2 linked regions of the Daphnia pulex genome follow. The protein of the gene in region 1 interacts with the protein of each later gene in a pairwise test. Links are inferred from orthologs where the notes say so. Each region holds a gene or a part of one and is shown in the gene's direction. Other genes may lie near its edges. The genes, in order: kinesin-like protein unc-104 and liprin-alpha-2-like.

What was found.
Region 2: the proteins of kinesin-like protein unc-104 (region 1) and liprin-alpha-2-like interact in binary tests that used the Caenorhabditis elegans proteins (3 or more experiments, as listed by UniProt). The link is inferred for Daphnia pulex from reciprocal best matches to the Caenorhabditis elegans genes unc-104 and syd-2.

Annotation. Positions count from the first base shown.
Region 1 is NC_060017.1:1,487,321-1,491,663, reverse strand, and holds the start of kinesin-like protein unc-104, read left to right. Parts: upstream 1-1,389; intron 1,390-1,458; coding exon of another isoform or gene 1,459-1,579; exon of another isoform or gene 1,580-1,692; intron 1,693-1,805; exon of another isoform or gene 1,806-2,419; intron 2,420-2,897; 5' UTR 2,898-2,976; coding exon 2,977-3,076; intron 3,077-3,353; coding exon 3,354-3,436; intron 3,437-3,614; coding exon 3,615-3,693; intron 3,694-3,752; coding exon 3,753-3,919; intron 3,920-3,996; coding exon 3,997-4,175; intron 4,176-4,245; coding exon 4,246-4,343. Other genes in the region: alpha-mannosidase 2C1-like, read right to left, coding at 16-143, 216-417, 487-697, 770-801, 872-984, 1,046-1,150, 1,256-1,389, 1,459-1,579. UniProt on the Caenorhabditis elegans protein: Motor protein involved in microtubule-associated anterograde transport. Regulates the transport of synaptic vesicle precursors in the axon of DA motor neurons. Regulates the polarized sorting of axonal proteins.
Region 2 is NC_060018.1:6,195,732-6,200,010, forward strand, and holds the start of liprin-alpha-2-like, read left to right. Parts: upstream 1-1,179; 5' UTR 1,180-1,379; intron 1,380-1,941; 5' UTR 1,942-2,052; coding exon 2,053-2,220; intron 2,221-2,277; coding exon 2,278-2,367; intron 2,368-2,430; coding exon 2,431-2,532; intron 2,533-2,621; coding exon 2,622-2,786; intron 2,787-2,850; coding exon 2,851-2,925; intron 2,926-2,997; coding exon 2,998-3,318; intron 3,319-3,396; coding exon 3,397-3,516; intron 3,517-3,590; coding exon 3,591-3,695; intron 3,696-3,760; coding exon 3,761-3,917; intron 3,918-3,993; coding exon 3,994-4,115; intron 4,116-4,177; coding exon 4,178-4,279. Other genes in the region: probable phosphoglycerate kinase, read left to right, coding at 1-72, 136-392, 444-544, 606-745. UniProt on the Caenorhabditis elegans protein: May play a role in regulating the structure of the neuronal region, called the active zone, from which synaptic vesicles send neurotransmitter signals across the synapse. This may be in association with the liprin-beta protein hlb-1.

The DNA of each region.
Region 1 (4,343 bases):
AATAAATAAATGAACCTTGGTATATTGCCGTCCATTTCAACCCATGTTCCACCAACAGGAATAAATCGTCCCAAACTTATAAAATGCTTCATCTCCTCATAAAGCGAAGGGTAGTACTGTTTTACCCAGCTGAATTGCTGGGCCTGAATAAATCAATGATTCAGTCGTTATGAGACAAAATAGTGAACTTTTTGTAGAAAATAGCTCCAACCTACTTGAGAACAAACAAAAGTCATTTCAGGATAGTCCTTCATTAGTGCTATCACAGATGACCAGCTGCGAGCGCACTTCCGGATAGTTTCATCGTACGTCCAGAGCCAAGCCGTATCGATATGACAGTGACCCATTGCGTCTATGATGTGCGCGCGTTCGCCGTTTCGGTACTTAAAAAACTCGTTTGACACTCGTTGAGCTTCCCTGAAAGAATTTCTGGGACTTAAGTATTTACTAAATATAAATTTAATTAATTATGCAACGCGAAATTACTTCCAATCATCAGCTTGAATGGCATTTATGATTTGATTTCCTGCGTACAAAGCCTGATAACCACGACTGTCACCCTTTCCGTCTGCTTCCGTCAATTCTTTGGCCATGTCAAATAAAAGTTCTAAGTCGATCAGGAGATGGTATGCTATTGTGTCGCAAACCGCAACATTAGCCATTTGCAGACAATATTTTCGGTCAGGGTCGGGAGCGTCTGTAATGTATAAATGCTGCTTCTAAAATTCTCAATGGTAAAAATTGGTAATACATTGAAGATATTTTTTACCAATCATTCCTCCTTTGCCAGCTCCAAACATGCTATGAAATTTTAACAAAATTTGTTTTTATTTCTCTTTAACCTGAGCATGAATAAATAAATCAAAGATACCTATTGCAAGCCATTTCAATAAAGTAAACCAGTTCTTCTGGACCTTTCTTCTCCCATGATTTTGAGATTATGAATTCTTCTCGTTTCTGGTGATCAGGACTTCCAGTGAATCCCTGCATAGATGGTATCAATGGAAATTATTCTATTGTTAACACAAAATGATTGGTTATAAACCTGAAGAGGTTCTCCAAGAGTGTTGAAAAGAAGTGCTTCTGAATTTGAATTCCATCGAAGGTGGATTTCTTTGCCAGACCAAGATTCAGGAATCTTCACAACAATCTTTTAAAGGCCAAAAAGATGTTCAGTATTTTAAAAGAAAATGAGAGGATTGAATAAATACATGTACAAAAATATCTGTTATTTTGCATTGACAACTGGCAACACCTTAAAGTAGTGTGTAGCCCAAGTGGGTCCAAAACAGTCCCCAATTTTCTGTGGGAGAAATGTTTGTTTGATGATTTCATCAAAGGAAATTGACTTCCAGTGTTTATCTTGAGGTAAGGCCCAGTGAAATATGTCTAAAATGTTATAAGCAAAATATCGTTAATGAGTGATTAAAGTTCTAATGTCTGAGTGTTTTCTCGTACCGACATTCTCTTGATGTGGGTAAATGCGTCCATATAAATTTACATCAGTAAAATAAATTCTAGAAACGAATTTTTCAATCCTTTCAAGGGTAGTTCGTCGATTTTTGTGTAAACTAGCCATCTGTGATGGCTAAGGACCGTCTGTTTGTTTAATTCTAACAAAAATTGAGATGACACGGTCGTTTAACTTTCCAGCTGGTCCCTGGCGGCCATTCGGTGGTAAACAAGATGGTTTCGGCAACCTTATTGACGTTTTTTTTTTGTTTATTATTTTTTTACTTCCAACACTAGTGGCCGTAAAAGTCTATTTTTTTTTATCAATGTTTATCGATAGATCAATATTGCAGTGTTTTGTTGCGTTTTACATTATTTTATCGATCACGCATGCCTTGGAGCATATTTGTAGAATGAATTACCATCATTCCGCGTCTGTGCGGTACTGCATGCAGCGGTTGGGGAAAGTCGAAATGAAAAAAAAAATGGGGTTGCCTTGCGAATAAAATAAACCTTCTTCCAAGCGTAAAGCTGTCGGTCGGTTTAAAGAGCGGCTAGACCGCCAGCAGTAGAACTCTCAACGGGGTCCTTTTTTTCCTTCTTCAGAAGGCGGGGGGAGCGATACACTTTCACCGATGGGATTTGCTACTGCGCAGGTCGGCCAAGACGATCGATATTGTCGAGTCACAGAGCAGCTCTTCGGTGACGAACGGTTTTTCTGAGTTGAATACTGCCGTGGCACCTTCAGTGTTGGCCCCAGTCCCCGAGTAAGTTGTTTTCTTCGTTGTTGTCAAAGTGGCAGCAGGGCAGGGCTTTTTATTTTATTTTTTGAAATTCTTTTTTATTATCCCGTGAAGTATTGAAGAAAAGAAAAAGAGTAGGAGGAAGAAATAATCGATTCGTGTGTCATGGATCAACGTTACTGAGCTCCGTATAGCTAAACGTCACACTCATAGTTCCAAGCCGGGTAAGCTCTACCATCATTTGCCTTTGTAATGTTATTCAATTTTACAGTTTTATATCCTTAATGCGATAAAAAAAAAAGCGTACGCGGGTCTACCTTAATACATTTTAAATATATTGAGCGTGGGCTGGGCCTCCATGCATCGAGTTACATGGCCATATTGTTTTCTGAATGTTAAATCGCCTTGAAAGACGAACAGGGTCTGCACAGTGCAAGTGCAGCGGTTCTTTCGAGAGGAAAAATGAAGTAGCCCGTATTATGCGCGACTGGATTGCGTCTCATATTGTCACGAAACGACATTCCGGCGTTGCCTATTGTTAAGTCGATCGAATAGAAGAGGGAAAAGAAGGGGCGTGAGTTTCGATTCCCCTGACAGCGTCTCGATTTAGAGATAACAGAAAAGGAATCGAAAAATAGATTTGTTATCTCTTTCGCGCGAATGGGGTGTATTAATTGTGTTAATGTCTTGTTTGATTGACAGGGTCGCTGCTGGATATTGCATCAAGTGCTGCTGGGCTGTGATTGTTTCCATTTGGATTGCAGCCGTTAATCAAGTCAAAATGTCGTCCGTTAAAGTGGCCGTTCGTGTGCGTCCGTTCAATAGTCGAGAAATCAACCGCGATTCTAAATGCATTATCGAGATGGTCGACAATACCACGGGTAAGGATTGACGTCATCAAAAATGGAGGATTATTCGTGTGCCGTAAAAAAAAAGTTGGATTCTAAGCCTTCGTTAAAAGCGCAAGACTTGTTGCCAATATCACGGCCGTTCCGGAGTAGGAAAAAGAAAACTAGACAAATGGAAGTAAATGACGCATTCATCCTCCGCCCGCCCACACTGTGTTTTTCTATTTTTGGTTCCCTTGTTAATCGTCGAAAAGAACCGCCATCTTTCATATAATAGTGTCGTAACTGTTAATCATTCTGTCTTCCACAGTCATAACCAATCCGAAAGCTCCAGCCGGTTCCAAGGAGGCTTCCAAGAGTTTTAACTTTGATTACTCTTATTGGTCACATGACGTGAGTTATGCCTTGTTTCTGCCATTTCTTTTTTTCCCCCTCGTCGTATACTCTGTGTACTTTCAACCCACCGATGTGGTGGCGAATGTCAAGGTGCAAGCACAGAGAGACGGCCCATTGAGTCGAGCTACGATCACTTATCGATTTTCTATTGTTTTCCCCCTTTTTTCACGTTTAGCCTCAAGATTACAATTTCGCACCGCAGATCAATGTCTACAAAGACATCGGTGAAGAGATGCTCGATCACGCCTTCGAAGGTAATTTCTTCAACTAAAAGAAAATTGATTTAAAGTGCAAACATTGAATTTGAAAACAGGTTACAACGTTTGCATTTTCGCCTACGGCCAAACGGGAGCCGGAAAATCATTTACGATGATGGGCAAACAAGAAGAAGGCCAAGAGGGCATCATTCCACAGCTTTGCATGGATCTTTTCGGTCGAATCAATAGCGATGCTAACGAAGATATGCAGTACTCGGTCGAGGTACGGTAGCGTTCAAGACATTGTTTTTAATTTAGTTGAGTCACAAAGTCAACTGTACTTACGCACAATCACAACAGGTCAGTTACATGGAAATTTATTGCGAACGAGTTCGTGACTTGCTCAATCCCAAGAACAAAAACAACTTGCGCGTACGTGAGCACCCTCTCCTGGGACCCTACGTAGAAGATCTTTCCAAGTTGGCTGTTACTTGCTTCGACGACGTCAACGAGCTTATTGACGAAGGCAACAAAGCCAGGTCAATAATTCCCCACCGTCACATTCGTCCTAATACTTAAGTTTTCTTGTGACATCTTGTTATTAAACAGGACGGTGGCAGCTACCAACATGAACGAGACATCTAGTCGATCACATGCCGTTTTTACGCTCATTTTCACGCAGAGACGTTTCGATCAAACGACAAGTC
Region 2 (4,279 bases), on another chromosome or scaffold:
GACCAAGTTAACGAAATGATCATCGGTGGTGGCATGGCGTACACTTTCCTGAAAGTCATCAACGGCATGCAGGTAAAAAAAAATTAGTGAGGCCAGAGGGAAAACAGCCTATGACTAACAATTGTCGACAAACAGATCGGTAACTCGTTGTTCGACGAGGAAGGATCCAAAATAGTCAAGGATTTGGTAGCCAAAGCAGAGAAAAATGGAGTGAAGCTTCATCTTCCTGTCGACTTTACTTGCGCAGACAAGTTTGCTGAGGACGCTGCTACACAGTCCGCCAGCGTTGAGTCTGGAATTCCCGAAGGTTGGATGGGCTTGGATTGTGGACCAAATACAATTGCACACTTTGTAGACCCAATCCAAAGAGCCAAAACAATTGTTTGGAACGGGTAATAATAGCGTGACCGGATTATGTACAGTTACTAATTGTGTTTCTGTAGACCTGTGGGAGTCTTTGAATTCGAGAAATTTGCCACTGGTACAAAGGCTGTCATGGATGCTGTTGTTCTTGCGACCCAAAACGGCGCCACTACTATCATTGGTAAACCATTTCCCCGGTTTTTCTAGAAGATAAATTTGTTGATTTTCGTTTGATTGAAAAGGTGGAGGAGACACAGCGACCTGCGCTGCCAAATGGGGAACAGAGGACAAGGTTAGCCATGTCTCTACTGGAGGTGGAGCCTCTCTAGAGTTGTTGGAAGGCAAAGTTCTGCCAGGCGTCGCCGCGCTTTCTGATGCATAAATATGATGTCACTTCTTAAATTTTAATCAAACCCAAGCATCAGTCGTTCTTTCAATTGGCAATTTAGTAGAGATTTTGTAAAAAGAAATGGTCCTAAATTAAATGTTTCATTCTGTAATCCAGTTTATGTTTTGCATGAATAATTTGAAATTTCAAGTCAAATATCTAATAAACATCGTTAGTTGAAAGATGAAATCTTTTCTTGTGTGTCACTATAAATCTTTAAATTCTGAAACTCATTCAAGCTCAGTGGTATCTGGTATGTGATAAGATAAAAACTTCACATAAAATATAGGGATATATCCCATATAAGAGAAAGTAGAATGTTAATGTTAATGGGAAAATCGACGACGACGAGAGCCGGGCCCGTGTTAAACTGTACGAGCGTTTTCGTTTTCGTCTGTAGCCTACTGTACGAACGACCATACAGGTCACGTGACTACTGTGACGTCAAAGTCAAATATGGCGGCTTGACGGCGAAGTCTTGGTTTTGACAGAAGTTGTTGAAACTGGAAAATATTAATTATTTCTTACGTGCGACATTTGGTTCATCATCGGCCAAGATTGTGCTGAAGTGAAAATGATATTTTCCTGATTATCTCGTATACGTGATTCTGTCGGAGCACATTGCCTCGTAAGGATCTAAACAGTTATTTCTCTTGTTGCCTAGCTTCGAAGCCGCACAGAAAACAAACGCTTTTCTTTCGTAAACCCCTTGATCCAGATGTGTGATACATCACAATTTACATTTTGTGTTCTCATAAGTGATATGATTCAGAATTCAGCATAGAAGTTGATGATATGCAGAATCTAGCATTATTCCTTTTACATGAAGCTAGGTTACGGGTTGGGTTGTAAATACAAACACTAACAAGCTAATAGCACCTTTCTATTATCCAAGTTTCAATTCTATGCATTTTTTATTGTTAGTGCAAGTTCCCATACAACTTTTTTTTTCAAATTTAAGTTAAATTGTTAACATCCTTCACATTTATATTTGTGTTGGCGGTATAATGTGTGAATGCAAGAAGGTTATAACCCAAAAGACTTTGCATAATAATCTGGATTAATACTACCAATTCCCATATATTGTCTAAGCAATGTTAAAAAACTATGTTGGAATAATGTTGGAATCATGTTTTTCTTATATGTTTTGACAGCTCTACTTATATCTTCGTTGTTTTATACTCTTTTAGATTTTGTGCCGACATCAAATCCATAACATTGCCAACTCTGGACCTTTCTTGAATTGTTGCTGATCTTAGTCCTCAAACTTAATAAATACCAATTATATTAGTTCCACAAAAATGTGGAACATGATGTGTGATGTGATGCCTACTATTACGGAAGATGCCAGCCAACTATCACAAAGATCCTCCCAACTGCTGTCAGGGGAAGAAGGAAACCTTGAACAGCTCATGGTCTCTATGCTGGATGAAAGAGACCGGCTAGTAGATTCTCTACGCGATGCACAAGTATGTTCTCTATTCACCTCATGATTTAGTGTATTTCATCATTTGAGTCTTATCTAGGATCGTATGGGAGAGCTGGAAGCTCGATTAGCTGATGCAGAAAAAGAACGGGATTGCCTTCAACGCCAGATGGCCGCATCTTTACCTCAGGTAAAAATTCAAGAGAAAGGTTTGAGGAATAAAATATAATTTTTTTTTTTTCATGACTTGTAGGAATTGGCGTCATTAACTAAAGAGCTGGCCCAGTCTAGGGAACAGCTTCTGGAAAAAGACGAAGAAATTACCGAACTCAAAGCTGAGAGGAACAACACTAGGGTATTATTCGACTTCATCACACTATATCGCTATAAGGAAATCAAATGCCAACAACGTACTCATTAAATATGTTGTTACTCTGATTATAGCTTCTGTTGGAACACTTGGAATGCTTGGTGTCCCGCCATGAACGATCTTTGCGAATGACGGTTGTCAAGCGACAAGCAGCAAATAGTGCAGGTGTTTCTTCCGAAGTCGAAGTCCTGAAGGCGCTTAAGTCATTATTTGAGCATCATAAAGCCTTGGATGAGAAGGTAACTTTTTTTAAATGAAAATATTGAACAAACTAGAAGACTCTAACTCATCCGTTATTTGTAGGTTCGCGAACGATTGAGGGTGGCGTTAGAACGGACAGCCGGTCTCGAAGAAGAGCTAACAACTACCAAAGAAGAAGTGGGTCCTAAATAATCGTCTTTTTCTTTTTTGTAGTTGGTGTTAACTTTGATGTGGTATTTGCATTTGCAGTTGCAACATTTAAAGAATGGGTCCATGTCAGTGACGCACACCAGCACGGATGGAAATGGTGGTGCAGCTGGTGAGAGTGGTACTAGTGACGTTACTAACGCGACAAATGGAACGTCCGAAGTTTCAGCTGAAGCTAGTAAAATGACGGAACTGCAATCAACGTTGGAGAAACAAAGTAGCGAATTGACGGTTTTACAACGGAGACTATTGGAAGCTGAAGAAGCTCTTCGTGCTGCTCAGAGGGATGCCCAGAGAAGTCAGGAGTTACAGGCCCGACTTCAACGTGATCTTCACGAGAAGAGCGCGCAAAACCAAGATCAGGTTCATTTAATTCAACTGTTTCCATGAAATTGTAATATTTAATGCTCAAATCATTTTTCTACACGTCATTACTATCAGGAGGAGCGCATTGCTACATTAGAGAAACGATACTTGAATGCCCAACGTGAATCAACGTCTCTTCACGACTTGAACGAGCGATTAGAGCAAGAGCTGCGTAATAAAGACGCACAACTTAAGGTATGGGTTTTTAGCTCGTTAACTTTTTATTAGAATTCGTCATATAATCCGATTTTATCAATTACTTTACATAGTTGCAAGAGGACAGGGTCCGCACTATGGAAGAGAAATTGGAGCTGGCTGATCAGAAAGTTACCCAGCTCTCGAAACTACCCGAGGTCCAGCATGAATTAACTCAAGTAAATTATGTTTAACAAAACCCTTCATGTTCATCTCGCTTATCGATTAGCATTATGATTCAAAGGTTCAAGAGCGCCACGGTACGGCTGAGGATCGCATCCAGAGACTGGAAAGCCAATTAGAAGAGAAGTCAACTGAAGTGGCTAAGTTGCAGCAGAGACTGAGGATTAACGAGGAACATAATTCACGTCTATCCTCAACTGTTGATAAGCTTTTACAAGGTAACTTCATTATGCATAATTGCTTTATTGTATCATTTTTTTAAATTTTTGTTTGAAAAACAAACAATACAAACAGAATCAAACGACCGGTTGCAAGTTCATCTCAAAGAGCGTATGTCGGCGCTAGAAGAGAAAAATCACCTAACGCAAGATCTAGATAAATCAAGAAAGTGTCTAGAAGATTCGCTTAAAGAAAAGGTGGAGTTTTTATTTGTTTTTGAAATCTTGAGAGAAATGCTAACAATATCATTGATTTTCAGGCCGAAATCTTGAAAGAACTGAACAAATCGCGTTTAGAGATGGACGGCGTGCGGCGCCAACTTCTCCAACAAGAAATTGCCCTTAATATTCAGCAGACGGAC